2 linked regions of the Pelodiscus sinensis genome follow. The protein of the gene in region 1 purifies or fractionates together with the protein of each later gene. This does not show direct contact. Links are inferred from orthologs where the notes say so. Each region holds a gene or a part of one and is shown on either strand. Other genes may lie near its edges. The genes, in order: MLXIPL and MLX.

Region 1 (14,834 bases):
CCTCCTCCTGCCCCCCTTGGCAAACATCAGCGCAGTGAGAGTGACCCCTCCCCCACCAGTGGCCAGGCTTTCCCCTGGTGAATTCCCAAGGGGGCTCTCTCAAAAATAGGGGCCCCAAGCTGCAAGCACAAAACTGGGTCTCCTTATACCCGGGCTGTGTCTAGACTGGCCAGTTTTTCCGGAAAATCAGCCGCTTTTCTGGAAAAACTTACCAGCTGTCTACACTGGCCACTTGAATTTCCGCAAAAGCACTGACTTCCTATTGTAAGAAATCCGTGCTTCTTGCGGAAATACTAGGCTGCTCCCGTTCGGGCAAAAGTCCTTTTGCGCAAAACTTTTGCACAAAAGGGCCAGTGTAGACAGCTCCAATTTGTTTTCAGAAAAAAAGCCCCGATGGCGAAAATGGCGATTGGGGCTTTTTTGCGGAAAAGCGCATCTAGATTGGCCACAGACGCTTTTCTGCAAAAAGTGCTTCTGCGGAAAAGCGTCCTGCCAATCTAGACGCGCTTTTCCACAAATGCTTTTAACAGAAAATTTTTCCGTTAAAAGCAGTTGCGTAAAATCCTGCCAGTCTAGACGCAGCCCCAGTGTCCCAGTCCTCTCCCCCTGCTCTCCAGGAGATGGCAGCAGAGAACAAGGGGATATTTAAACGAGGTGCCACGTTGCTCATTTAGCTCCTCTGCTCTCCCGTCCTGGGTCCTCACGGTTACCTCCCCATCTGGTCAGCTCCAGGGCTGGCACATTCCACCTGCCTCCGAGTCCCAGGGGGGGAGGCGAGAGTGGGCTCAGCTGATTCTTGTGGCCCCAGTGCAGCAGCTTCACTTCTGGTGTCCAGACCTAACTGTCTCGATCCGCTCATCGATTTGTGATGCCTCTGCCTGGGCCAGGTATAACCGAGCAGGGGGTGTCCTCCCTCTGGAGCCCCCCTCAACTCTGGGCCTGGGAGCCCTCGGGCTCACATCACTGGACAGGCAGAGCTTTCCTAGAAACCAGACAGGCTTCAGCAAGGGAGCAGCCTTGGCTAAAGAGAGAAGTTCCCCCCATGAGTGCAGAGCTGGAACATTCCACTCCCCTTCAGTCATCTGGTGCACAAATCCTGGACCATCTTCTGTGGCTAAAGCCATCAGGACTTTCGCTTAGTGATTCTGATGAGCGCATCTACCTGAGATTTTGGCTCTTTGTCCCCCTCGTCAGGGTGCCTTGGTTTTCCTGTATGCACCAGTCCAAGGAATCCATACAGACGCATTGCACATCTCTGCCAGTAAGGTGCATGCCACCCTCTTGGGCCTTAAACTTAGTTTCGGGGCCGGGGGAGGGGTTGAGGCAGGGAGGCTACTTACCGGGTCTAATGGCAAGCCCCAGCCTCAGCTGGCCCTTCTCTTGGCGGTGTGGCTGCCCCCAGCAGTCACTCTGCAGTATAGCTCTCTCCAGCATTCAATGCCCACATGGCCACTGTGAGTTTCACAGCCCTCTGGACAGCGGTCCCTTCCCTTTCCATGTTATGGAAAGCATTTCCATTCCAGGGATTTCCTACTTTCTGGACACAACCAAACCCTGAACTTGCTTTAAGTTAGGAGAAAAGGAAGCTGCCTACCGAATTTGGTGTTCATAGCTGTTACCATTTGGGAGAGGCTCTTGAACAAATGGACGCACAGAAGGTGCTGCAGAACTATTTGTTGTTTTTTAAGTTACAGACTAATACAGCTACCCCTCTGGGACTTACAGACATGCTCTCATAGATATATATATATATATATAGAGAGAGAGAGAGAGAGAGAGAGAGAGAGAGAGAGAGAGAGAGAGAGAGAGAGAGAGATTAACATGGCATTGGTAATGGCAATCATTTTGACATGCATAGTGAGATCCAGATGTTTCTGCCTGTCCCCTCTCCCCATGTACAGTAAGTTCTTTTAGTTACAGACTAACATGGCTACCCCTTTGAGACCTCAGAGACACGTTAACTGTAACATCACCCTAGGTTATCCCTAAAATTGTCTCAAAATGTCATAGTAATCAATGCATACATTTATCGGTATTTTGTCCCAGGCCTCAGTTGGCCCTGGATGTGACAAGGTTCTGAACCGTAGAATAAGAGCAATTAGAAATTTCCATTTGATTCTATGCGTTTTGCAATGTCATGCTGCAATCATTAATCCTTAAATGGTGTTACTCTCAGGGTTTTCCACATTTTACAAACCTCTCCCCTCTGATCCCACCTTGGAATACCAAAAGAAACTACACTGTCTCCTTCCCACAGCTACTCGGGAACAAATCCACACAGAAACACCTTCTGACCCCCGACCAGGATTGTTCTATCTGCTTCCCAAGATCCATAAACCTGGGCACCCCGGATGTCCCTTCATCTCTGGTATTGGCACGCTCACTACTGGTCTATCCAGCTATGTAGACTCTCTTCTCAAACCCTTCGCAACCAACACCCCCAGCTATCTCCGAGACACTACTGACTTCCTAAGGAAACTACAAAACATCGATAACCTCCCCAATAACACCATCCTTGCCACCATATACCAACTCTATATACCAACATCCCACATGAAGATGGATTACAAGCAATTAGAAACACTATCCTATCCCAGAGGACACCACTGCCAACCTGATAGCAGACCTATGTAACTTTGTTCTCACCCACAATTATTTCCAGTTTGAGAACAACTTATACCTCCAGATCAGCGGCACAGCCATGGGTACACGCATGACCCCACAGTATGCTAACATCTTTATGGCTGACCTAGAACAACGTTTCCTCAACTCCAGTCCCCTTTCACCCTTCTCTACCTACGGTACATCGATGACATCTTTATGATCTGGACGCATGGCCAAGAAACACTGGAGATATTCCACAGAGATTTCAACAACCTACACCCCACCATCAACCTCATCCTGGACCATTCTACACGAGAGATCCACTTCCTGGAAACCACAGTACAAATCAACAATGGAAAATTAGACACCACTCTCTACAGAAAACCCACCGACTCATACAGTTACCTACATGCTTCCAGCTCCCATCCAGAACACACCACATGATCCATCGTCTATAGCCAAGCCCTTCGATACAACCGCATCTGCTCTAATCCCACTGACAGAGACCAGAAACTTCAGGATCTCTACCAAGCATTTATAAACCTCAACTACCCACCCGGAGAAATAAAAAAGCAAATTGAAAGAGCCAGACGAATACCTAGAAACCATCTACTTCAAGACAGACCCAAGAAAACCAACAATAGAACACCACTTGTCATCAACTACAACCCCCAACTTAAACCTGTCCACACATTATCAATAAACTACAGCCTATACTGGAACAGGATACCATACTCCAAGAGGCTCTGGGAGACAGACCCATAGTCTCCTATAGACAACCACCTAACCTCAAGATGATTCTTACCAACAACCACAGGACATACCACACTAATACCAATCCTGGTACCTTCCCTTGCAACAAACCCCGTTGCCAGCTTTGTCCACATATTCCTTCTGCTGATACCATTATTGGACCTAACCAAGTGAGTTATAAGATCAAGAACACATATTCCTGCGCATCCAGTAATATAATTAATGCTATCATGTGCCGAAAGTGTCCGTATGCTATGTACGTTGGACAAACATCTCAGGCACTTCGCCAAAGGATTAATGCCCACAAAACAGATATCAGACAAGATCACAAAGAGAAAACAGTTTCTTTCCATTTTAACCAGAAAGGACACTCTCTCAATGACTTAACCACCTGCATTCTGCTACAAAGACCTTTTACATCTGTCACATTACCGAATTGGAGGGAAGCAGCCAGATCGCTGCTGCGCCCCTAGTTGGGGGTGTTGGCCCCAGAAATTGGTATAAAAGGGAGCCATGTGGGGTATTGAATGGGAGCTTATTGTTTGTTGATCTTATGTACGCTATTTATGTGAATATATAATGTCTGTGTGTGTAGGTAGGAATCTGTAATCTGTGTGGAAGCTGAATATTTCTCTGAATGTGGGTAAGCATTGCTATGGACAGGCTGAGTAGCCAGGCCCTGTGGGACAATGGCTCTCAATGGGCTATGGACACACCCAAAGAATGGGGTTTGTCATCTGAGGGCAGCCAGCAGGGAACATAGAGATTGGCCTCTGACCAGGTGACTTGCTGCATACAAGAAGAGGCCAGGAAGGAGGTATAAAGAGGCCATGCGGTCGATGCCATGTTGTTCTCAGCTCAGCACTTCATCCCAGAGGCAGCAATGCAGGGATTGAAGAGCCCGGAAGACCTGTGGACCCATCCTGATCGTAGGATGTGCAATAAGAACTTTTAAACCAGCAGCTGCAACACCTCTGCTAGAGCCTGCATCGAGGACTGGGAGATTCGGTGCATGTAACGTACTGTACTTTAATAACCTTACTCTCAGGCTTTTCTTTCTTGTAATAATAAACCTTTAGATATAGATTCTAAAGGATTGGCCCAGTGTGATTTGTGGGTAAGGTCCAGAGGGTAAATTGACCAGGGATCTGTGGCTGGTTTCTTGGAACCGGACAGAACTTGTTCGGGGTAGGTGGGATTGGGTGCTAGGACCCCCCCACCTGTGTATGAGGCCCGGGGCCATCTGGGGCACGGTTATTGCTGGGGCGTCGGAGGGGTTTTGCTCGGGAGGCTTCAGGCAGGCAGCTGAAGCGCTCTGTGGGACTGGTTTGTGGCCTGTTTGGAGAGGTCACCAGTCGGGGAGCTGTAAGGAGCCCCGGATTTGAGCAATTCGCCCTGAGCGGACGCCCTCAGCTGTGCCCAGACACGGCCCGGTCCGTCACAGTTGCATGCTCTGCCATTCTCTCTGCATGTTCTGCTTTTCTCATCTCAAGTTCCCGATCCATCTCCTGCTTTCTCTTAGCAATTTCTTCATCTGCCTTCCGCCTTCTTTCAGCAGCCTCCTTGGCTTGCTTCTGCTCCTTTTCATCCACATCTCTGGTTAATAACAGCACTACCAGATCTAGTTTAGAGGCCCTTTTCCTAAAGGCAATGCCTCTCCCCGAGCACAAATCCTTCAGAGCCTCTCTATTTAGGCTCTCATACTGGCACTGACTCATTTCGGCTGCCCTTTACCCAACCAAACTCTCAGTACTAAAAATCAAATTTAGACAGCGTGGGGTCCTGATCCCAAAGCTCAATTGACCAAGATCTGTGGATCCTGCCGACTACGCCACTGTGACGGACCGGGCCGTGTCTGGGCACAGCTGAGGGCGTCCGCTCAGGGCGAATTGCTCGAATCCGGGGCTCCCATTCAATACCCCACATGGCTCCCTTTTATACCAATTTCTGTGGCCAACACCCCCACCTAGGGGTGCAGCAGCGATCTGGCTGCTTCCCTCCAATTCGGTAATGTGACAACATCTGCACTTGAAAGGGAATCCTCTGAACTGTCATTCATGTTAAAATTCGACACTCTCCGGGAAGGAATGAACAAACACTCAAACTATCTTACCCATTACCAAGATAGCTTCCCCAATTATCACCTCTAATACCATTAGCTCACAGACATCCCACTCTCCCCACCTCTAATATCATCAATTCACAGACACTTACCTTCCTTCCTTCCCCCCCGCCCCCCCCCCCCCGCATCCCCCTCCTGTTCTGAAATGTGATTTGTCCTTTTCATATGTGTTCACTTTTTTTAAATTGTATCCTTTGGTATATATGGTTGTGACTATTTTCTTCCACTATTTGATCTGAGGAAGTGGGTCTGGCCCACGAAAGCTCATCATCTAATAAACCATCTTGTTAGTCTTTAAAGTGCTACATTGTCCTGCATTTTGCTTCGGTTTTCCACAGTTATCCTTTGATGACTATTGTCAGGCTTCCCATTGTTATCTCTTTTGTCCTGTCTCCAAAGTGTATCAATTCTGCTAATTTAATTCTAGCCTCCTGGTTGTCTTTAAAGTTCTCACTTCTTCACCATTTGGGCATTCGTGATGGCTTTCACACTTATCCTTAACTATGTACATATCCACCACTCACAACAAATGATTTACAGCAATTGTTTCCTGTTAAAGAATCTTCACTGAGCATTTTAGACAGGATTACATTTTAGAAAGGATCATATAGTTACCAAAGAAATTTCAAAAAGTCCTGCTGGGACATAAGTGCTGCAGGACCATTTGTTGTTTAAGTTAATTTAATTTACAATGTAGACAAGAGGCACAACTTAATGTGTAATGCTAACAAGAAACAAGACTTTACAGCCAACATTGTCTAATCATGAAGGATGGCTGGCAGGCTCAAACTGAAGCATACAGAATTTAGAATCATAGAGCTGGAAGAGACCTGAGGAGGTCATCAAGTCCAGCCCACTGCCCAAAGCAGGACCAAATCCCAACTAAACCCGGCCAGGGCTTTGTCAAGCCGAGACTTAAAAACCTCTAGGGATGGAGATCCCATCATCTGCCTAAGTAACCCATCCCAGTGCTTCCCCACCCTCCTAGTGAAATAGTTTTTCCTAATATCCAACCTAGACCTCCCCCACTGTAACTTGGGACCATTGCTCCTTGTTCTGCCATCTGTCACTATTGTCCATTGTCTTTGGAACCTTCCTTCAGGAAGTTGAAGGCTGCTATCAAATCCCCCCTCACTCTTCTCTTCTGCAGATTAAACAGCCCCAAGTCCCTCAGCCTCTCCTCATAGGTCATGTGTTCCAGCCCCCTAATCATTTTGGTTGCCCTCTCAAGACCCTCTCCAATGCGTCCACATCCTTTCTATAGTAGATGGCTCGGAACTGGACACAATATAGGCAGTCCCCGGGTTACATGGATCCGACTTACATCGGATCCCTACTTACAAATGGGGTGAGGCAACCCCGCACTAGCTGCTTCCCCCCAGCAGACCAGGGAGACGCGAAGCTACCCCCGCCCCCCAGCAGACCAGGGAGACGAGGAGCGGCTTTTCTCAGCAGACACCTCAGCTTGAGAATAAAGGACTGAGGGAAGCGAGGTGTGGGAGAATAAAACTGAGCTCTGGAGAAATGTTTGGCTAGAGTTTCCCCTACAATATGTACCAGTTCCGACTTACATACAAATTCAACTTAAGAACAAACCTACAGTCCCTATCAGTAACCCGGGGACTGCCTGTACTCCAGATGTGGCCTCACCAGAGCCGAAAAAAGGGGAATAATCACTTCTCTGGATCTGCTGGCACTGCTCCTCCTAATGCACCCTAATATGCCTTTAGCCTTCTTGGCATATCATTTCATATAATTGTATAGCACTTATTACCATCATTATACTTATATTCTGACACCAACACTCAAATACGCCATTTTGGCCATACTCCGTGATGCTAGGAACATTCTTCTCAATGTTCTCATTCAGTCGTGACCTGGCTACAGCACCGCACCCCCCTTCAGCCTGTCCCCTGTGCAGACCATCACCCACAGACAGCACAGAGCATGGAGACTTGGGCAGAGCCTTCACTGCAGATGCATCCTGGGTCAAAGGGTGAGGAGATTCTCAATGGCCCCCATGGGGCTGGCTGCTTGGCTCCCCCAGAAGTCAGAGGCAGGTGTGAGCCATCTTTGAAAATCTCCCCTTAGCACGTCAGTTGTAAGTTTTCAGGCCCAGGACGGAGTAAGTCTGCCAGTTGTTCTTGGGGGCCTTGCCTCCTCAGAGGCCCCCGGGAGAACTTGTCTGTATCTTTGCCTCTCTCTGGCTCAGCGGAAGACCCTGGAGGAGCCAGTTGAAAGCAGGTTCTCACGCTGCCTGTTTCCAGGGCCCTGGGCATGACTCCGCGAGTCGCTCCCTGCTTTGTGCTGAGCTGGACCCTGGTCGCTATAATTGCCTGTTTTTGTCCCTTAATCTGTATTTGTTCCCTGGGAAATGCAGGGGAAACATTAGTACAGACGTGCTAGGTAAATACCGTGTATTTTTCTCCCGCTCGCAGGCAGAGCAGCGCTGAGCCAAGGTAAACAAAGCTAACTGAGCTGTAGTAGCAGACCTGTCTCTGGCCTCCTAGCTGCGGGGGCTGGGAACAGATGGAAGCTGGAGCGGCTTCTCCTTTAATGTAGGCAGCTTGTCATGGAAATAGACTCTAGTGTGACCCAGAGCTCCCCCTTTTCCCTGGATCCAGCAGACAAGGGGTTAATTCCCTGCTCGACTCCAGCGCCCACCCCTGTCCCCGCCCACAGGCATGGCTGGAGTAAAGAGGGCGGGGTGGGATTATACCTGGGGGCCCTATAAATAGGACTGCCAAGAAGCAGGGGAATGGCAAGCTAAGCAGGACACAGGACAAAGAACAAGTCAGGGAGAGGGTGGGGAAGCAACATGCAGATCTGGGGGCATGGTGCACACGCCTTATGCTAATGGACATGTGTGGGGCTCAGATACTGCCATGATGTGGGCCTCCCAGGTACCCAGACCCCAGACAGACAAAGAGGGTCACACTGGTGGGTGGCTGCTTGCACCGGGCACCATCGCTGGAATGCAGGTGGGGCTGCATGGAGCCTTTCTGGACCCACAGGTCAGGACAGTCCCAGAGTTAGACTCTGATTCAGACTCAGAGGGTCTGGGCTCAGGCAGTGTTGGGCCAGGGTCAGGCTCCCTGCCCCACTCCCAGGTCATCCACAGCGGCCACTTTATGGTGTCCTCGCCGCACAGCGACTTGGTGCCCCGCCGACGCCCCCACCATTCTGAGCCGGAGCCAGCAGATCCCCGGACCATCGACCCAACTCTCACCCGACTCTTCGAGTGCATGAGCCTGGCCTACAGGTAAGTCTGAGGATCCTTTTGACTGGGACCCCTGGATTCCCCCTCCCCAGCTCTGTGTGGCAGGCCTCTGGCATATAGACAGGGGTCAAGGACATTGATCACATTTTGAATTCAGATCAAAATATACAGTTAGAACAGGTGCTTTGGCCATGGCTCATCCCCCAGGCTCTTTTCCCTTTTGAAAATCGCTCCAGCAGCCATTTGGTTTTTCTTTCAGAAGAGCCCTACAACTGAACATCAGCATGTTATCTCTGCCCCCCCTTTGTGTCCCTGGCAGTGGGGGGTGGATATTAGCGACATGATCACAGACTAGCTTGGTACTAATATGGGCTCATAGCCCCCAGTATGAGTAGCAGATTTTGGGGCTTTGCAGTGGGTCAGTTTCATATTAAAAGAGAAACGAGCGATACGCACTTGGTGCTTTCTATTTACCCAACAGCCCCAAGTCCCTTCACAGGGGCCAGAGCAGCACACGGGCTGTTGCACTTGCAGAAACCCGCTGAGACATTGCTCCTGTTGCCCAGAGGCAGTGCCCTTCCCTCAGCCCTTTGCTGTTAGAACACATGGTCTGCTCTGCCAGCCTGCCCTCCCTTCTCAGCCCTGTTTCAGGCTGCTTCCCAGAGGACCTAGACAGAACAATCTGCCTCCCCTCTTCTGGGGCTGCTCCCTCCAGCTGGACTCTCCAGCTCTTTATGGGGAGACAAGGCCCCACTGGCCTGGCCCCCCTCCAGGTGCCGAACAACACTGGGGGTATGTCTAGACTACATTGTTTTTTCGAAAAAACGTCACCTGCGTCCACACTGCAATGCCGTTCTTTGAAATGAAATGGAAAGAATACAGGGTTTTCGACATTGGTAAACCTCAGATTACGAGGAAGAACGCCATTTTCGAAAGAGCTCTTTTGAAAAAAGGCATGTGTGGACGCAGAACAGGGGCATTTTTTGAAAGAAGAGGGAATCGAAAAAAGCCCAGGTGCCCTGGTGGCCATTCTGCTGCGCCATTCTGTGCACAGCAATCAGGGATTTCTTTCCATGCAGTCTGGATGCTCTCTTTCGAAAAAGCAGATCAGTTTTCAATCCGGTTTTGAGGTGTGGATGCTCTTTCAGAAGAAGCTTGCAGTCTAGACGTTTCCCGGGGTGCACGGTGACGCCCCAGCACAGTCTACACTCTAGGGATGTTAAATATCGGTTAATTGAATAGTCGAGTAACCTCATGAATTCTTATTGGTTAGTCGACTATTCTATAGTCCCTGGGGGCAGGGCCGGCAGCCAGTGTGCTCCGGCCTCACTCTTGAGGAGCCCTCTGCCACCCTGCGCTGCTGCCTTTGCCTCTGGGTGCCAGGCAGGTGCTGGTCTGTGAGGGGAGCCAGTTAAAAAACCAGCTCCCCTTGCAGACCGCCTGCCTGTTGCCCTGTGCTGCTGCCTCTGATAAAGAGTCAGCAGCTTGGGTGGCAGCAGCCCCTGTCTGGGTGGAGCATCTGAGCTCCCAGACCTGAGCCAGGCTGCCTGCCCGCCCAGCTCCTACTACACTTTAAATGCAGAGCCGCAGCAGGGGCAGGTCCAGGACCCATCACAAGCCAGAAATGAGCCGGGCTGCTGGCCAGCCTGCTAAAAATGCACTGGTGGGGGAGGCGGGGAAATGCACGTACTCTATAGCATTAACCTATGCACTTTTGCTTATTGGTTAATCGGTTCATTGACTACACTATCACATCCCGACTGCAAAGGGCTCCCAGTCAGATCTGGTAGCATTTTATGCTTCCTTTGCACTGGCATAGGAGCCGAGCAAGCCTTTGTGCCTAGCCCTTTCCACGGAGAGTTTCTCTCTCGCCCATGTATTTCATTACCAGGCACACTGCTCACCTAGATACGTGTGGAGCATCTTCTGCTAATGAGGCTGCCAGAGTTCAGCTTGATGACTTCCAGGAAAGGACTCAGTAAATAGCACGGTGCTGGGTCACGCTGGGCACTTTTCATCAAAACAAGCTTTAAAAGAGGGCTGTTCTGTTGGCCCAGATGAGGCTTTGCACTGACAGACTGCAGTCCGGCAGGTGCTATCCTGGTTTGGGATGAGAAGCCAGAAACAAAGACATTTTCAGGAAAAGTTGTGGTTAAATTTTTAATGTTCGGGTTCACTTATTGAATATTTTTAAAGAATGAAAACCAACATTTTTCTTTTTCATTTTTAATTAAAAAAATCCCAAACAAAAAAAATCTTCGATGACCAACTAAAAAGAAACTCATCATTTATTTTCACAATGTCCCCTAAGAAACCTCTGGCATTTTTAACCAGCTGTAAAATGTGGGGGTTCCCTCCACATACCATTGTCCCCCATTCTCCCTCCATGTTGGGGTTCTGTATATTGCCTCATTTCTTCCCCTCACCCTATGCCAGGATTTCTGTGTGCCTCCCCCATTTCCTTTCCCCATCCTGATGTCACCCGTACCGCCCAACCCAGAGGCTTTGTGTATGCCTCCATGCTTCTATTTCCCTGTCATCACCCTTACTTCTGTCTGAGAGCTGAGTGCTTCAGGGTGTCCGCACTTTACACTGTATTGGGAGGGTGGGCAGGCTTACACTGCATGCTGTTACACTGCAAGGCAGTAATGCAGCCATCACAGATTCTTTGATCTACAGACAGCTACAAAGGGGGACAAAGATAATGGCCCTGCCAGCCAGCTGCCAGCCCAGATGTCATCATAGTCCCTCAAGGACCCCAGTTAAAGGGTTCAAGCTCCCAGCCATCACCTCTTTTGGTAAGAGGCAAGGGATTGTCTCCCTTCAGATCGGCGTGCAGGCTGCATAGCTCCCTGGATTTACACTGTGATATCTGCAGCCAGCCAGCACCCAAAGCCTTTTCCTACTCTTAATCTGTATGATCACCCATTCTAGCCGTAAGTGTGAAAATATCTAAGCCTTTTGTCCCTGACAGAAGTGGAGCCAGATACCAGATCATGTCCTTCTGCCCCACCTTGTTCAATTCACACCCCCTTTCAAAAGCATTTGGAAACACACCCACGTCATCCTGCTCTTAAGGCAGGAAAATAATATGCCATCCACCGTATGGAATACAGGGGCATATACCCTGAAAGTGGGACAGCAGGAACTCCATGGCTGCGTCTAGACTGATATGATTTTGAGGAAATACTTTTAATGGAAACGCTTTTACGTTAAAAGTATTTCCGCAAAAGAGCATCTAGACTGGCACGGATGCTTTTGCGCAAAAAGTATCCATGCCCAGTATGAGGCTTTGCACTGACAGACTGCAGTCCGGCAGATGCTATCCTGGTTTGGGATGAGAAGCCAGAAATGAATATCTAAGCCTTTTGGCCATTTTAGCCATCGGGCTTTCTTGCACAAAAAATGGAGGTGCCTGTCTACACTGGCCTCTTGCGCAAGAGGGCTTATCTCTGAGCGGGAGCATCAAAGTATTTGCGCAAGAAGCACTGAATTCTTACATTAGAACGTCAGTGCTGTTGTGCAAATTCAAGTGGCCAGTGTAGACAGCTGGCAAGTTTCTGCGCAAAAGCGGTTGCGTTTACGCAAAATCTTGCCAGTCTAGACGCACCCCTTGTGTTCCTCCTTCCCTCTTTGGATTTTCTGCTTTTCATCAGTCATGAGGGCTCTGTCTTTAGATGTGCAGAACAATCCTTGAGAAGTTGGAACTGCATCACAAATGATCTCATTTCAGAGAAATGCCATCGAATTGAGAGTCAGGCTGTGCTTCACTCGGCCAGCTAGATCTCCCCATACACTGCTCTATGTGTGAAGCCTGGAGGGAGAGGGGAAGCTCTGGCCTATGGAGGCCCCATTGCTGTAATTTCTGAGCACCTCTCGGTCTTTAGCAGGATGGGAAGAACGCATGGGGCATGGGCAGAGAGACTAAAGCCATATCTACATTCTGGGCACTAGAGCAAGACAGATGCAGTGCTGTAGCCATGCCCCAGGAACCCTGTAGTGTAGACACAGCCAACAGCAACAGAATGGGGTTTTCTGACACTGTAGGTCTCCTCCCCAAGTGACTGTCGCTTCTGCAAAATTCTTCTGCATAGTTACAGCCCTTGGATGCTGATTTTGGCCAAGTTCCCATGCAAACCAGGCCCAAGTAGCATATCCGGGGTCACACGGGAAGTCTACAGGTCTCGAGTCCCTGGTTAGCACTCTAACCACTGGGCCACACTTCTTCTCTATGGCAGATCCTACGTGTGAATGTTGAGGAGGCCAGGGAGGAGGGACCAGGAGTCATGGCATGGATGTGTGTTGTAGCTTGGGGAGGAAGAGCTGGCTTTTTGCTACACTATGGAGGGAAATGCAGCAGGGTTGGGGGCAGGAGTTGCAGATGGACCCAAGGTTGCGAGCCTGAGAACCAGGATGATGGAGAACAGAGGGTTTTAGAGGAAACAGTGCAAAGCAGTGCGTGGCCACATTTCTGTTGGCTGGAGGACATGGCAGGAAGAGGACAAGGGGAGATCTGGGACAGGCCACAGCCGAGACGCAATAAGGAATGTAACAGTTTGCTGACAAAGAACAGGATTTCAGAGTTCTAAGGGCACCGCAGAGTCTAGGCTCTCGGGTGCACGGGGAAGACAACCCTGCGCATTCAGCTCTCACCATGCACCTTGAGGGCCTTGGGCTCGGCCAGAGCTCTGAGTGGGGACAGGGCATTAGCAGACAGGGTGCCCTTTGTTAGACGCTGCCTGGCTATTCGGTTCAGGCTGAAAGGGCAGCTCAGGCTCAGCTGTGGAGCAGGCCTGTGGGAAGCTGGATTCGGAGACTAGGGGTTTCTGGTGGTCTGACAGCCATTGTCACTGCAGACCAGGTGGGGTGGCTGTGTGCTCTGTTGGCATCATGTTTAAGTGGCGTCTTAACCCAGGAGAGATTCAGAGCTTGGGGTTGGGCCCCTGTTCTCAGCTGTTGGATTTCCCTGGAATGGGGAGAGACTGGAGGAGCCTTGTGCAGCCCCACTGTGTCCATTCGCTTGCACTCTGGAGCAGGATGGGCGCTGTTGTGCATTGCGGGGTGATTTGTTTAAATCGCTCAAGGCCTGGGGCTCCTGCTTCTCTTGGGAATTGTTCCCCAGGATCCCTTGATCTCACTGGTATTCAGCCTAAATGTTCTCCTTCTTCATTTCATCCCACTTCTCCTTGGCCCTGCCCTGCACCCAAACCGGATTAATTCTTGCCCCTGGTATTCATCCCTTCAGGCGAGATCTCCTGCCCCGCTCCACTAGGAAGTCACTTAGCCAAGCTCTGTAGAGCTCATTTCTCAGTCTTCCTGCAGTCCCTCAGGTTTTGTTGTTTCTTGGAGCTCCTGCCCTGTTGTCTGTGTCCATCGAATTTGGGGAGGTCCTCCTTTGACTCCATATTCTGGTGGCAGTGGGACCAGACGCACCGGTCCCCTCCCTGCTCTGTGATGTGATTCCTCCAGGTCTTTACATTGGCACCACTTTGCTAATAGCTGCCTTCTCTCCCCTGTGTGCTCAGGCCAGCGGTGACATTTCTGGCAGCTTTGCCTCTTGTGTTTGTCCAGGATGGATCTTGGTCAATGTCCTGCCTGTTTCTGGTCTGTCACCCCTGTCTCCCACACTGGGCAATCTACACCCACATGCTGTGGGCAGCCCTGGGAAAGGGCTGTGGTGTGGGCAGGGGGTGTGGGGCTTGTGAGTGTGTCAGAGGATACACAGCTGAAGTTAATGGCCTGGTAGGTCTCGTGACATTGCTGTAAACTTCTCCCAGGCCCCTGCTTCACTGAGCTCTACTCAGGAACAGCCCTTTGAAATGGCACTTTCTGACCATAGAAACCCCCTCCCCCCATAAGTACTTTGATGTCCATTTTACAGGTGGGAAACTGAGGCCCAGAAGTTGAGTGACTTGCCCTAGATCACACTGAGAGAATTGCCATTGGACAAAGCTGAGACTAAACCATCCTGTGTCCCGGTTTCTTGCCTTGTCCATTGGCATGAGCTGCTTCTCCAAGTGCCCTTCCTCTTCCATGTCTATTCCCTGGGGCCAGGCACTTCCTGTGCACCTTGGTCCATCCCCAGCTTGGCAGAACCGACTCTCAATGCAGGATGCCAAAAAGAATCCCAGCCAT
Region 2 (15,586 bases), on another chromosome or scaffold:
CTGATGCCAGGTGGCAACAGGTGGCTCCCTGGGAGCCTGCATGTAACTGTGAACATTACCCAGCAGGCTCATGGGTTAACTGTGTCCATGGTTTCACATCCCTTCTCTGGAGTCTTGCCCATGAAAAGGAGGCTGTGTGTATTCCAGTCTGGTTTAACGAGGGTTTTGAGAGTTGGACTCCCCTGTAGGGGGGGAATGTGCAGATAGAGAGGGTTGTTCCAATACAGCTGCCATAACACTAACTAAGGAGTCAAATTGGGCAACCAGACATCACCAATCCCTTCTGAAAAATTGGCCCTGGACTCATCAGCTGATAGCAACCCAGTGATTCTGTGTCAGCAGTAAACAAACTGGAGAGGAGACACTTTTACAATGCTTAGCAAAAATTTATTATAATTACTTTCCAAGATAGAAAAATATTTCCTTTCCCCCTGAGTGAGGTCTGTAAAAAGCAATGCCCTTGGAGAAATGCACATGCCACTTATTAGTAAACAGCACAGGCTTTTGCTTCTGCAAACAGGGTGCTTTCCTGACAGCCAAGCAACCTCTTACAAGAGTTCTGTGTCTGAGCTTGAACTGCCTGAGCAGTAGCTGCCCCTGGTGTGTGCAGTTCACTTCAGCGTTAGACATGTTGCTGCAAATAAATGCTTGGACTTCCTGGGGGCTGTCTGCTGCATTTGCACTGACTGAGGTGCTCTGTGGAAGTGTTTTCTTTTATAAAATCCAAGACCAACAGGAACATTTCCTTGGTTACATGGAAAACGTCAGTTAAAACTTTATGCCTCAGCGTTTGAAAGGCAAACAGCCAGCACTAAGAAACGACCACCGAAGGAAATGCACAACAGCCACTCTCACTGGATTTTTAGAGGTGTGGGCACATAATTGGAAATGAACAAATAATGTAGTAAGAGATTCACTTTGGTGGAGTAATTCCAATAGCGTCACCTTGTCTGAGTAGTAAAAAGCCATTGCTGCTTTAGCGGACAGCTGCCTGTTGCTGTTAAGATTTCTGGGGTGCTAAAGAAAGAATCAGGGTGTAGCTGGTTTAAATTGTCCCAGACAAGCAGCTGTCTGCAAAATGTAAACTGATAGCAGGTTAGTGTGATTTTTTTTTTCAATTCATTACAAAAATCAAGGCTTTATTATATATAAAACTATATAGTTCTAAACAAGAGGAGACGTCTAATTAGTCTGTGCTACACTATTCTACTTTCCCAGACAGTATGACTTCATTGTAAGTGCCAAGTAATATAAAGCCCGACAGATCAGCCTCTGTGCCGATAAAGCTAGAGAAGCCTGTAAAGAAAGCTGCATTCATCTGCAATTGTTTAGGACCCGGGGCAAGAGTCAGGCCAAGGCAGCAGCTGGCTCAAGCCAAGGCCAAAGCTATTGTCATCTGTGCGAGAGTCCCTTTGACACTGTTCCTCACCTCTCCATGTGGCAGTGATGGGCCTGCTTCCTTGGCATGCCTTTTTGAAAGTCATTCTGCACCAGGGAAACAAGCAGCCGTCGGTCCCTAGGCAGGACGAGGTGATTGGGACACACCAGAATCACTAGTCCCGAACCCGTCTCATCGGTAACTAGAACCAGCTGCTTCAGAGACAGGTTCAAGAAATCCTGCAAGGGTGGGAAACCTGTCCAAGGGACACTTCTTCCTAAGCCCCGTTGGTAGAGGTCAGTGTGTAGCCTGGTGCAGGAGGGTTTATAGCTCAGCCAGAGCTCTTTAATAGGGTGGGGGAAGAGAGGTCTCCCTGCCTGTTGCTGGGCCACAGTCCCTGCTGCCATTCACAGCCCCATGGGGTGATGCAATGTCAGCAAGTGCATAGCCTGAAACCAGCCGTGTTCAGCAGCTCCCAGCCAGGCTCTGTGGTTTCCAGGCCCTGCATCCTCACAGGCAGTAGTCAGACTGCAGGCCATTCCCCTCTCCCTCTGCCCAGAGCAGGCCAGGCAGCAAAGTGCTGAGCACCCGCCACCACTGTAGGGAGTCAGGCGCAGGAAAGGCCTAGTTGCTGCTGTGCCAGTTTGGTGAGACCCTCCCCCTCCTTCCTTCTCGGCAATAAGAAGTGTATTTAATCCACATTTAAATTCCCTTCTCTGCCGAGTCCCTACGGACCCTCTGGTGCTACAGACTGCGACAGGGTCTGTGGAGAGGTATGTACAGCCTAGTTTTGGTTTTGGCCAATACAATAAATAATCCAGAGAGAAGCTTTAAGAACAACCACAAGGGAAATAGACCAGCTATTCCTGGAGCCTGTTTCCCAGTTGGGCCGTGCTCTGCAGCTGTCTGGGTGAAGGACACAGGCCCAGGCTGCTGGGACCCGGGCAGGAACAACAGTCAGTAGAGCTGATTCTTCAGCTGATGCAGAACCCCCAGCACGATGTCGCGCAGAGTCTGAGAAGGAGGAGAAGGAGGAGGCAGGATCAGTCACCCCGCGAGACAGACGAACATTTGCCTTGGCAATGCCTCAGCGGCTTCCAGCGCAGACCCAGGAACTCCTTACAGAGCGGGAAAAGTGAATAGAAAGGCAGCTGGGTACCCACTGCCCCACCCAAGCACAGGTAGGTTTAATCGCAACATACCTAGGGGAGGTACCGTATTACTGGGAGTATGGGACCTACCAGCTTGGATCAGAGGAAGGACTCAGCCTGGTCAGTTTCCTGTCAGACTGTAGCAGAATCAGCTGCTTTAGAGGAAAAAAGCTTAGTGCAAGCAGGTGTGGTACAGAGGGTCCCTGCTATAAGTCGCCCCGGTATACATCTGTTCCACACTAAAGTTGCTGATGTTTGTAGAAACTGATGCATTATAAGTCATGCGAAACACTCCCCCCAGTTTGCTTAAACGGAAGTCAGCCGTGGGGAAAAAATTACGTGCTTTAAGTTAGTGATAGATATGTAGCCTTGTTAGTCTGGTGTGGCTGAAACAAAAAGCTTTAAGTTGTTTCGCTATAAGTCCAAGTTTTTTGGAATGTATCTTGGACTTCTAGCAAGGGCCCCCTGTATACCCACTTGCCTCTCAGGGTATGTCTATGCAGTGCCACGTAGCTCAAAATAAGCTATGCAATTCGAGCTACGCAAATTGCATAGCTTATTTTGAAAGAGTCTATTTATTTAATTTCGAAATAGACCATTATTCCAACAAGTCCCTTAATCCTCATGGAACAAGGTTCACCGGGATGTCGGAATAGCAAGCCCGTTATTTCGGGATACCGGACATATCCCGAAATAGCACCGCTGTCTAGACGTACCCTTAGGGAAGGTTTCTGTCCTATCAAAGCTTGCTTTAGCTGGAGAACAAGAGCCCCTGTAAAAACTCAAAAACCATCAAATAGTCCTGCAGCACCCTGGAGACTAGCTAAGTGCCGAAGGGTATCTCTACGCAGAAAAGAACCTCACCGCAATGAATTTCAGAGCTAGGGGCAAGTCCCATGAAGGTGCTTGCCCCATGTCATGCACTGTACGGCTCCTAGAGCTTACCTGTGGCTTACAATGCTCCTCAATCCAGCTGAAGACACACGCGGAAAGTTCCTGAAAACTTGCTACCGAGATGGAGGCATTAAAGGACTGGAACAGTGAATCCATAATGCCTTGGAAAACATTAAACTTGACTTGGTCAGAGACCTGGTCTTTCCCCTCATTCGGATTATCCTGATGAGCTTTCACAATCTGCTCATAGTTTCTGAAACAGACCAAAGAAACCTGGGTAAAATGGCAGGCCAGGGAAGCTAGTTCTGGCCTGAGACACTCTCCAAAGATCTGTTTGAGGTGAAAGAGACTCAGGGACGTGCTGCAGTGTTTGTGGAAGGGCCTTAACTGTGCTTGTTAGGACTGAAGGTAGCGCTCTTGCTGGTTGTAGGGTTAAGTTAGCAGGCTCTGGGCTTTAAGTTCCTTGAGGGGAATAAATACAGGGAAATTGTGGCCTCCCTTCTGTGTTGGAGAGGACACCCAGGAGCAGGCTGGGTCTCCTTGTTCAGAGTCGGTACAGCCCTACGGACAGTCCCTGGGCTTAAGCCATGTCCCCACGCGCTGTACTGGGATCTGCGTCAAGCCCAGATTCACAAAAGAGCCAGGTAGTAACCAGCTCTAGGATGGAATGACACGGAACAGGTGGAGGGGGGAGATGAGCACTTACAGCATGTGCTGCAGTATGCAAATGTACCCATCTCCCGGGGTGGGGTGGGGGTGTGAAACTGTTCCTTACACTTTCATGATCTTCAAAGCTGTGACATCTTTCCTGAGGGTAGAAACGTCCTCCTCCTGCTTCTTCTTCTCCTTGTGGAGGAACTGAATGTAGTCAATGGCTGCAGGGGAGGAGAGGGGAGGGGAGAATTTTAGAATAGATCAGTGATGTCACTCTGCAGGGGGCAGGAGGACGGTGGGGCCTCTGCAGGATTGATGCATGGCTGTCGATTTCTTCCCTGCAGACCTCATGCATCCAAACTGACCAGGAGGCAGTCTCCCAACTCCTCTCCTGAGAGTCCCAATGCGTCATACCCCAGCTCCAAGGAGAGGGGAGCCAGGTGCTCTAGATCATATGCTGGGAAGAGTCCCAGACTCCTAAGCCCTAGACCCAGTCTTCCTGCCTCAACCCAAGTGATTTCAATGCCTGTGAGCAGCAAGGAGGGGCTGACAGGTGGGTGTGTGGGGGTTGAACTAGGTAGCTAGTGCTTCACCCTGCAACACTGTGCCTCCTTTGCCTTGCTAGGCTGATTGCACCAGTGTTACTCAGCCTCAGCAGGAGATCAGGGGAGCAGTAACCTGCAGAGCTGAGTAGGGAGGAAGCAGACAGCTCAGTGAGGCCTGACACAAGATGCCTATTAGTTTGGTTTTGAGTGTCTGCAGGGAAGGTTTTACAGCCTGGGGGGGCTCTCCACATTGAACCCCCATGAACAGAGGGTGGCCAGTGCCCCACTCCCCCTCCGGACTCACTCTTCTGCAGGACGATGGCTTTGCTCAGTTTCTGGGAGCCGATGGAGAAGTCCTGCTGCTGGCACGTGGGGACAATGGCCTGCAAGTCGTCGTAGCCTTTCTGTGGAGGAGCAGAGCAGAAGTGACAAGGTGTTGTGGATTCAACAGCAGCGGATGATTAGAGCTGGCTGAGTCAGTGTTTAACAAGGTGTAAATCTACAGCTCCCACGGGTTCATCTGAACCCCTACAGCATCCTGAACGCCTGGGTTACCTTGATGGCATCTCGTCTCTTCTGCTCAGCCTGAGTGTGGGCACGTCTGCGCCGGTCCTTGTAGGACTCTTTGTAGGTTTCCTGGCGATAATCGCTGTCTTCATCATCTGCAGCAGAAGAATGGGCACCGCTGGCTCGGGGGCACGTGGCAGCTCCCAGAGCCCAGGAAGCAGACACAAAAACTGCTGAGGCCACACAGACACCAGGCAGTGTCTGCGCTGGGGAGCATTTCAACTGTGCCAGAGGGCTGGACTAGCTCCACACAGCTTTTCCAAAAGGAGGGGGCCAAACACAGTAAAGATCCACCTGTCTAAGGACATCTCTGCTAGCAACAGTCCACAGTGTGTGAGCAGCTGGGGTAATTCATTATAGGGAAGGCTGATACTGGATACCACCTGCTTCTCCCGCAGACCCCAGGGCTGGGTCCTGGCTTGTCTAGGCAAGATTCTTACTAGCAGGGCTCTGCTGCATTGGAGTCTGCCCCAGGAATTTCAAGGCACTGGGTGTCTAAGCAGAGATCCCTTCCATAGAGAGACCAGCTTTTCAGCACTTCCTGGAAATGAGGCCTCTAAGGTGTCTCAGCCTGAGCATCCATCACCACTCGGCATTTGAAATTCTTGGCAAAGAAGTTTCGTCAGCCCCTCGCTCCAGCTCTCCTCTGTTCTCCATGGTCAGGGGAGTCCCATCAAACTGCCCTGCAGCAAGCCACGATGCCCTCCCTGGGCTTCCCTACCATTCTCCCTAGCCAAGGACAAGATGTCTGCACTAGCTGGCAGAGGAAGCTCCTGCAATCACGGTCTCGTACAGAACAACTCCTAAGGAGACCGAGACTGAACAGGAATATGAGTGAGAGAGTGGGAAAAGCCCCTATTGTGTGAGACGCTGCTGGAACATGGAGAAGGACCATACCTGTATTGGGGACCGAGGAGGCACTGGTGGAGCCAATGCTGTTGGCTCGGGATACTATGCTTCCTTTCCTAGTGCTTTCCACAAAGAATGCTGAAAGAGAAAACACCGTAGCATATTTTCCTACATCATGCAAGAGGAGGTAAGTGTCACTAAACCTGAGACACTGTAAACTGGACACAGAAGGGATCAACTTTACAAGGCAAATTACAGGGTAACTAGCTCCCAGACAGAGTGCAGATAGATGCAATGAATGCTGAAATGCCACTGGGACCCGACGTGAAACCTTGCTGTGCTTGAATTGGTTAACTCTAATATCCTTTGCACTGCAGTTTCCCCAAAATAAATTTCAGGAGACATGAGAAGGGCTCCACAAACCTCTTACTGATGGAGCACAAAATACAATGATGATTTTATCTGTGCTGCTTTTCCAAGGAGCAGATATGTCTTGCTTTAAAGAGAGAGTGCAGATTTGGACCAAATTCAACTAGACTGTACTTCTCCTAGTAGCCTAAACTAGAGCAGCAGTACTCAAACGTTTTGGGCTGCGGAGCCCTTTACATGTGTAAAAAGTTATGTGGAGCCCTAGCAGTCCACTGATTGTGTGTGTGTTGAACTTATGCAGAGCCCCAGCCGTCCACTGATTGTAGGGGTTGCACCTCTCCATGTTTCCAGTTTGTCAACCTCGCGGCGCCCCTGGAGATAGCTGGGGGAGCCCTGGGGCTCTGTGGAGCACAGTTTGAGAAACGATGAACTAGAGCCAAGGACAGAAACGACTCCAGCTCCCTGGCCCATTGAGGCAGCTGTGGCCTGATGGGAGTGTGGGAGAAGGGGACACGGGGGGATCTACTCACAGGCATCCAACCCGCTGTCGCTGTAGGCAGACTCCACCTGGGGCGGGGCGGGGTGAGCGAATTGCAGCAGGAGAGAGAGAGACACAAACCAGGCAGTGAGCGAGCCGTTTCCTCTTTCGGGCACGTGCCTTTTTGCGCAACAAGCCATTATCCCACCACGTGACAGCACGTTGGGGTCCCATGGGGGTCGCCCCCCCCCCCCCGGCCCTGTGGTCACCCCCCCAGCTGATTCATTCCGTGACCTCTGACCCCCTCCGTGGGGGGACCCCTCCGCCTCCGTGAGTGGGGGGCGGGGCCGGGCAGCGCCGCCCTCTCCCGGGGAGACGGGGCCTCGCGGTGTGTCCCGCGCCGGCCGCCGTCCCGCCCTGGGGACTCACCTTCCCCCAGGGGTCCTCGGGCGAGGTGCTCGCCTGCTCCGCCATCTTCCCCAGGGCTCGGTCATGTGACCACCGGGCGGCAGCCAATCGCAGCGCTCGCCCCCCGGCGGGGACAGGGGGATCCGGGAGACGCCTCCCGCGGGGGCTGACGGGAGCTGTAGTTCCACCGCGCGGGGTGACGGCGGCCGAACCCAGGGTTCTGCGCCACCAGGGGGCGCCGTGACACTGAGGATTCTAAGCCGGGCCGCGAGCCACGTGGCGTGGGGGGGGGAGGAGGGAACCACGTGTCAATGCTGCGAGGGGCGGGACTCTGACCTCACATGACCCCAGCCCCTGCCCTGAGGCTGACCTTTGACTCAGGAGACCCCATTTCCGATCTAGGGCCCTAGGGCTGGGTCCTTGGCCTCGTGTGACCCCCACGCGGTGCCCTCTCCTTGACCTCTTGCCGTGGGGCAGGCCCTGCAGCCACCGCCTACCTACTTCCTGTCTGTGGGCCTCCCCCCAGCTACCCAGCCCCATGGGACCCTGGGAAGGGGGGCTCCCGCCTTGGCCGGGAACTGCCCCTTCCTCTGAGGAGGCCTCAGCCCCTGGAGCAGGGCATGGGGCTGGGCTCCTGGGGGCAGGGAGCACTGTCCCGCCCTGCTGTGATGTGTGCACTCTTGGGGCTGGGCAGCGCTGCTCACCGAGGGGGGGGCTTTGAGCCACTCAGGTGATGGGGCGGGAGGCAGCTGCCTCAAGGAGGTGGCTGGCGCTGTCCCTGCACGAATTTCTTTTGGGACATTCCCAGCTGATCCCTGCAACGGGGCCCTGGCAGCACTTGCTGCAGCAGGCTCAGTGTTTGCTCTGTCGCTCCTGCCACCGTCAGTGGCCTCCTGCTGGCTGCGTGGGCCTCCCCAAGGACCCTGCAGCCTGGGCTTCCTCCTAGCAGGAAACGAGCTTCCCAGGACACTGCAGGGGCTGAGGCTGTCTCACTCCCAGCGCCAGCAGGAAGAGCCAGCCCCTGGGGCCCGACAGAGCTGGGTACAAAGGAATCAGAGACATGACTGGATGCCGGGGGAGAGGGGAGGTGTCCTCCCAGGGCAGCACAAAGCAGAAAGGGCCAGTGGAGCAGGCGGGGCAGGGAATGGGCATCCCAGTCATGTCTCTGATTCCTTTGTACCCAGCTCTGTCGGGCCCTTGCCTGCAGCCCATGAGTGCTCTACAGCCCTGAGACAGAGCCTGCCCCAGCACTGCCAGCTGGGTGCCGTGAGCACACGGAAGTGACATGCAAACGTCACACCTGCCCTGACGCAAGTGAGGCCCTGCCTCTGCCCCTGCCTCGGCAGCACCACCAGGGCCCCAGGCTGGCAGCAGCCCAAGGTGTGTGATGAGCATAGCCCCAGGGCTCAGCTCTCATGCTGCCTGCATGCCACACACCTCACCCCACCTGCCCAGGAAACCCCCCCAGCTAGGCCTAAGCCCCAGGGAAAATCACCACGATTCCTCCCCTGTGCAAGGCACTTGCTGGCCCCCAGTACTGAGCTGCAGTAGCAATGGGCTTCGCCTTCCCCCCACCCTGTGGGGACACACAGCACCTGGGGCGCAGGGTGGATGAGGTGACTTGCCGCAGGTCGTGGAGACATGCTGTGTCAGAGTCAGGAATGGCCAGCCAGGGCTGCTGATGCCCTTCACCACTAGGAACCGGGCCACCCATCTCCCTGGGAGTCGCCCAGCCTGGCAGCCTGTCCCAGCAGCTGCCGCTGGCACAGAATGCACCTCGCCACTTGACCATTTCTGCACCTGGTGTGACCAGCCAGTGCTCCAAAGCAGGACAGGCCACAGTCTGCCTTGGCCAGCTCCCTCCTCCTCCCCCCCACGCGGTGTCAGCCCATCCCCTCCTCCCCCCCGCAGCCCAGGACCCATGCGCTGCAATTGGGCAGTGGGACGCACACCCTGGGGCACAGGCCATGTTGACTCAGTCAGATGGGGCTGGAGAACCTGCCTCTTCCATTGCATCAGTGGGAGTCTCTGCCAAAGCAGGCAGGCAGGTCCCTTCCCATCCCCCTGCAAGGGCAGCCTCCCTGGAGACGCACCCCCAGGCTAGTGCACCACGGAACCCCCCCCCCCCCCCCAAGCACACACGGAGCCCTGCTTCCTACGCAGCCCCACTGCCCACTGCAGCCCCCGGGCGAGGCACGCTGGGCAGGGTGCTGCTAGCTGGGCACCCCTCTCCCACTGGGGGAGGCTGCCCCTGCTCCAAGCTTTGAGCAGAGAACACGGGAGCCACGTGGCCACCGCCCTGAGCCCCTGGGCCCAACCTCGACTCGGCGTGTGACCCTCCAGCAGCCACCAGTGCCCCGGGAGTGCCACAGAGCAGCGACACTTCCCTAGGGCACCCCTGGCTCCCCTCCCTGCCCCCTCACCAGAACATGCCCCCTTAGCCTACATCCCAACACGACGTCACATTCTCCAGCCTATGCCAGGGGCCGTTGATTCCTGCTGCTGGCGTAATCGGCCCCGAGATAACAGCCACCTTCTGTCCCCGGCCTGGCCCTTCTGACGCTGGTTGCCCGGCTCGCACAAAGTCCACTGCTGACGTGCCCCTGCCCCCCCCCCCCCAACTTGGCTGCGGCCCAAGGGGACTCAAAGGGCACACGGCACAGTCCTGCTGCACTGAGCCAGGCCTGAGATGCCAAGCGCAGCCAGCACAAGCTCGCGCGTCCCCTGAGGGGTGCGAAGGGAACAGCCCTGGGGGGCCGCACTGACCCATTCCTATAGGCTGCTACCTGGCCAGGAGTCGCCCCCAGGCCCTGCGTGGCTCGGTGCTGCACAGACAGACCCATCTCAGGCAGCGGGATGAGAGATTTGTGCAGGGGACACTCCAGACCCAGGCAGGCTCCTGGGAGTCTCTCTGGAGGATGCCGGATGCCTGGAGCCACCTCCTCTGACTCCCAGCTGCTCACAGGCCCCGGTCCCCAGCCCTGGTACCACAGGGCACCTGCAGTGAGGGTCTCCCACCCCGAGGTGCCTGCCTGGCACTGGGGGATTTTGAGGGCTCAGCACCCAAGCCAGGGGAAACGCTGCAGGCAGGGCCGGGCTGGGGGACCCCCTCCCCCCAGCCTCCTTCAGAACCTTGTCTGGATCTCCCGGCGCCAATAGCCTGCGCAGCACCAGGATCTGGGAGGGGGAGGGGCAAGGACCATTCCTGGGGCCACGAAGCCCCTGGCCTGGCCCAGCATGTCCCTCTGGCTGGGCCCTTCCAGGGCACCGCGTAGGGGCTGTTTACGAGAGCAGCTGTGATGCAGAGCTGGGGGAGAGCGCCAGGAACCCGGGTCTTCCCGCCTGCAAAGCCGTGCCCCTCGCGGCACAGAGAAAACATTCTGTGCTCTCCTCCTGCCCCAGCGCCCGGCGCCCCTCCCCAGAGCCACAAGCCAGGGGAATTGCTGCAGGCAGGGCCGGGCTGGGGGCTGCCCCCCAGCCTCCTTCAGAACCTTGCCCGGATCTTCCTGCTCCAATAGCCTGTGCAGCAGCGATCGGTGGGGCTGCCCAACCCTCCCCTCCCCTTCCCTTCGCATGGTTTGGGCAGCTGCCTACCCAGCCCCTACCCAGGGGAGGCCAAAGAGCTCAGCAGGGTGGGATGGGCGGGCTGTGGTAACCCCCTGCACCCCAGTTGAACAGCCTGGGCCATGCCCACAGGTTGCAGTTCGGCCAATTGGTTCTGTTGGGGATCTAGTTCATTGGGGGATGCTAACGGGGAAGGAAGGAGCAGGCAGCTCCCAGGGGGTTCTGGCACCGACTGGCTTCAGCTCTGTGAAGCTGGAGGGGGCAGCGGCTCCTTTGCCACCTTCCTGCGGGAAGGGCAAGTCCTGGAACCTGAGCACCAGCCCAGAGGCTGCCAGGAGGCCCTGGGCCCAGAGATGGAATGGCAGACCCGCCGGATCCCCTGCGCAGACACCCAATTGGCAAGTGGCAGGTGCCAGCCTATGGAGGGACTGGAGCTTCATCAGTCTGAGAAGCTGCCCCTGGGACTCAGCCCCTTCCCACTAGGCATTGCAGCCACACTCCCCAGCACCAGCGTGGGGCCCTTCGACCAGCAGCACCGATGCAGTCCAGGGGACTTTGCATTCAGCAGAAGGGGGCCGGGAAGACTCAAAATGGGGGGATGGGCCCTTCACCTTCACACTGACGCGCTGGGATGCAAGCGGGGCAGCTGCCAGCACTCACAACCCCCCGCCTAGCCGCACCGGGCAAAGCCTGTGTCACACCAGATCACAGGCAAGTTCCCTGCCAGGGGAGGGCTAGTCATGGTTTCACGGCTGGATGCCTCACATGAGGTGCCTCCAAACTGTTACCCCCCCCCTCCAAGAGTGGTCGTGCGTGGCCGTGAAATGGGCAGGAAGCTGGGCTCCACACTGGATTCCCCCCTTCCTGCTCCCAAGGCATTTCCTGTTTGCTCAGTGCACCGAGACATCCCGGTGACTTCACTTCCCAGACGCGGGGGGAGGAGGCTGCCGAGAAGCGATCCAGAAGCCAAGGCTGGCGGGTGAGGAAATGTTCGGAACGACAAAGCTTCATTGCACATTTTATTGAGGTCACATGAAAACCAGAACATTTAAAAAAAAACCAAGACACAGAGCCTCTTAATACTGGATATAGCAGCAGGCCCAGAGATCAGGCCAAGGGCATTAAATAGAACCAAAAAAGGATTAAAAAAAATAATTTCTCTCCAGGGCGCGTGGTTAAATAGACATAAATAGACCCAGGGATGGGGCGGGGATGGGGGGGGCGTCCAGCCAAAAATCTGGACAGAATGAAACGAAGACAAAGTCTTCTGCTGTGCTCCCAGGAGGGTCCCACTGTGGCAGGAGAAGCTGCGCTGGAGGCGGCGTCACATGCAGCGGGCTGCCCGCACACGCTTCTGGGGCCGCCGGGCCGCCTGCGGGCCGTACGTCTTCTCGGCCCACCTCTCAAAGGCTGCCACCATCTGCTTCACCACCTCATTGAAGAACAGCTGGGCCAGGTGGGAATGCAGGATGGACTTGAACTCAAAGGAGACCTGTGGGGGGGGGGACACAGAGCTTAGCAGAGCCAGGGGGTGCGTGGCCAGGCAATTACGCACACGCCTGGGGACCAGGGCAGGACTTGCCAGCAAGATGGGGGGGGGGGGGGGGGCTGGCCTGTCTGAAGCATTCATCGACCCCGCATGTGACCTGCCTTGAGCGACCGCTCTGTGCAGGGGCCTCTTCCACCCCACGCCCGGCCCAGCCTGCCTCGGGGACAGGCCCGGAGGGGAATACTCACATAGAACTCTAAAGTGCAGGTGTCCGGCTGCCCTGGCAGCCCCGGGCCAAAGCTCCAGACGGTCTCCAGGTGGCGGAAGAGGTGGCCGTCATTGCACACAGCCTGCGGGAGGAAAGGCGGCTCGCGTCAAGTTTCAGCTGAGCGGAGAGGCGGGAAAGTCAATGCCCCCCCAGCCACATCCCCGCGGAGAGCCCGGGAGCCATAGACACAGGGCCTGCGGCGGCCAGGAAGAACCAGGCTTCCTGTTCGCGTCTGAGCAAACCTTTGCACAAGTCAGTGAATGTGGAAACAGCTGCACAGGCTGTGCGGTCACCCGCCAACCCCCATCCCTCGAGTGGCTGCCGGCTCGCTTGGGCACAAGCTCCCTATCCGGCAGCTGCCCCGAACGCCGACGTCAGCGCATCCCCAGCCCTGATCTGCCAGGAACTGGACCCAGGACAGTTCGGCGCTGGGTGCCACCCAGGTTTGGCTTGGCTCCTTGGAGCCCAGCTGTTCCCTCAGCAGGAGGGATGGGGTGTTGGGGGCTGCCTCTCACACAGCAACTTTTTGAGAGGGGAGCAGCCGGGATCAAAGCCATAAGAACAGGAGGTCTGTCTGGGAACCACAGTAGCCCGTTCCAAGACCAGCCTCTGTGCCCCTGCTTGACACGCTTCGGGCCAGTGATCAGAGGTGCCGAGCACCTGCAGCGAGTTGTGAGTGCTCAGCTCCTCCCAGCTAAGCCCCAGGCTCCCTGGCGGCCCCTTACCCGGATCTGGTGCTGGGGAGTCAGGGAGATCTCAGAGATGTAGCGCTCCACGAAGGGCGCGAAGCCGACCTCCAGCTCGGCCCGCGTCAGCCCTTGGCGGCAGGACAGGACCTTGGAGCTGCTGCACCACGGCACGAAGTGCTGGTAGCTCTCCACGTCGGCCACCACGTTGTACATCTGCTCCGTGGAGTAGCTGGGGGGGGAGAGACAAGCCGCCCGTGAGCAGGGGCCGGGGTGACAGGAGGCCGGCAGGAGCTCACGTTTCACAGGGTAGCGGGCAGAATCCTTGGCCAGGAGTTTATCAGGCCCGGGAACCCACCTGCACCCCACCCCCTCCCCTGGGTAACAAGCCCCAGCCCCCTCCAGAGGCAATTCCAACTCCCACCCCCTCGGCCAGGTTCCTGCAGCCCCCCCCCTCGGAGCCACACACTCACCCCAGGACTCGCATCTCCGAATACTCCATCCGCTTGCTGCCCAGCTGCGCAGCCGCCAGGTTCAGGAAGCTCCGCGCAGGCAGCACCAAGGCCGGGGTGACGGGAGGTCGCTTGGGGACTTGCAGAGCCAGGAGCCCACAGGAACTTAAATGCCTGAAACACAGGAGGCCGGTTCCAAGGGGTGAGCGACAGGGCACATCCCGGGGGGCAGCCCAGCCTCGTGGGTGTGGGCGGGGAACACCCCCGGGTAGCGCAGCCCTCGATCCCCCCGTGGGTCCAGCTTTCCTCTCAGCCCCAGCGCACTCCAATCCACGCGCACCCCAATCTCCCAAGACTGATCCCCGGCAGCACTTGGGGGGTGCCCCCGATCTCCCAACACTGACCCCCGGCAGCACTTGGGGGGTGCCCCCCGATCTCCCAATGACCCCCGGCAGCACTTGGGGGGCGCCCCCGATCTCCCAATGAGCCCCGGCAGCACTTGGGGGGCGCCCCCGATCTCCCAATAGTGACCCCGTCAGGACTCGGGGGGCGCCCCCCACTCTCCCAACACTGACCCCCGACAGCACTTGGGGGGCGCCCCCGATCTCCCAATGAGCCCCGGCAGCACTTGGGGGGCGCCCCCACTCTCCCAATAGTGACCCCGGCAGGACTCGGGGGGCGCCCCCCACTCTCCCAACACTGACCCCCGACAGCACTTGGGGGGCGCCCCCACTCTCCCAACACTGACCCCACCAGCTGGGGCAGGACCCGCGGGCCCGGGGCCCGGCTCAGCTCCCTAGGTCCGGCCCTTACCCAGTCCCGTCCCCGCGGCGCGGGCGGCCCCCGGCTCCCCGCAGCGCCCGCAGGAGCGCGGCTCCCCCGCGGCTGCTCCCGGCCATGGCTCTGGGCTCTGCCGGCCGGGAAGCCCCGGCCCCGGCATCGGCACCCGCGGGGGTGGCCCCGCCACGTGCCCAGTGACACCGTGGGAAACTCCCCTGGGGCGGGGCCGTGGCAAGGGAGGGCTCCGCCCCTTCGGGCAGGAGAGCCCGGGGACCCTGGGCGAGGGGGGGTCTGGGGTCCCAGGCGGTTGGGGGGTCTCTGGAGGGGTGTACATGGGGGTCTGTGGCCCAGGACAGCTGGGGGGGTCTCTGGAGGGGTGTACATGGGGGCCTGGGGCCCAGGACAGCTGGGGGGGTCTCTGGAGGGGTGTACATGGGGGTCTGTGGCCCAGGACAGCTGGGGGGGGTCTCTGGAGGGGTGTACATGGGGGTCTGTGGCCCAGGACAGCTGGGGGGTCTCTGGAGGGGTGTACATGGGGGCCTGGGGCCCAGGACAGCTGGGGGGGTCTCTGGAGGGGTGTACATGGGGGTCTGTGGCCCAGGACAGCTGGGGGGGTCTCTGGAGGGGTGTACATGGGGGCCTGGGGCCCAGGACAGCTGGGGGGTCTCTGGAGGGGTGTACATGGGGGCCTGGGGCCCAGGACAGCTGGGGGGGGGTCTCTGGAGGGGTGTACATGGGGGCCTGGGGCCCAGGACTGCTGGGGGGGTCTCTAGAGGGGTGTACATGGGGGCCTGGGGCCCAGGACAGCTGGGGGGGGGTCTCTGGAGGGGTGTTCATGGGGGCCTGGGGCCCAGGACAGCTGGGGGGGGGGTCTCTGGAGGGGTGTACATGGGGGCCTGGGGCCCAGGACAGCTGGGGGGGGGGTCTCTGGAGGGGTGTACATGGGGGCCTGGGGCCCAGGACTGCTGGGGTGGGTCTCTGGAGGGGTGTACATGGGGGTCTGGGGTCCCAGGCGGTTGGGGGGGTCTCTGGAGGGGTGTACATGGGGGCCTGG

The links.
Region 2: the proteins of MLXIPL (region 1) and MLX purify together in Homo sapiens (affinity purification with western blotting; 3 studies listed by BioGRID and IntAct, counting the BioPlex papers as one, with this or other methods). This does not show direct contact. The link is inferred for Pelodiscus sinensis from reciprocal best matches to the Homo sapiens genes MLXIPL and MLX.

What each region holds. Positions count from the first base shown.
Region 1 is NC_134731.1:16,402,910-16,417,743, reverse strand, and holds the start of MLXIPL (carbohydrate-responsive element-binding protein), read left to right. Parts: upstream 1-8,225; 5' UTR 8,226-8,313; coding exon 8,314-8,741; intron 8,742-14,834. UniProt on the Homo sapiens protein: Binds DNA as a heterodimer with MLX/TCFL4 and activates transcription. Binds to the canonical E box sequence 5'-CACGTG-3'. Plays a role in transcriptional activation of glycolytic target genes. Involved in glucose-responsive gene regulation.
Region 2 is NC_134739.1:8,862,905-8,878,490, forward strand, and holds the start of MLX (max-like protein X), read right to left. Parts: upstream 7,435-15,586; 5' UTR 7,360-7,434; coding exon 7,315-7,359; intron 6,975-7,314; coding exon 6,938-6,974; intron 6,177-6,937; coding exon 6,087-6,176; intron 5,285-6,086; coding exon 5,178-5,284; intron 5,027-5,177; coding exon 4,927-5,026; intron 4,299-4,926; coding exon 4,199-4,298; intron 3,677-4,198; coding exon 3,475-3,676; intron 2,393-3,474; coding exon 2,336-2,392; 3' UTR 1-2,335. Other genes in the region: coenzyme Q-binding protein COQ10 homolog B, mitochondrial-like, read right to left, coding at 12,182-12,349, 12,595-12,696, 13,340-13,532, 13,774-13,926, 14,566-14,651. UniProt on the Homo sapiens protein: Transcription regulator. Forms a sequence-specific DNA-binding protein complex with MAD1, MAD4, MNT, WBSCR14 and MLXIP which recognizes the core sequence 5'-CACGTG-3'. The TCFL4-MAD1, TCFL4-MAD4, TCFL4-WBSCR14 complexes are transcriptional repressors.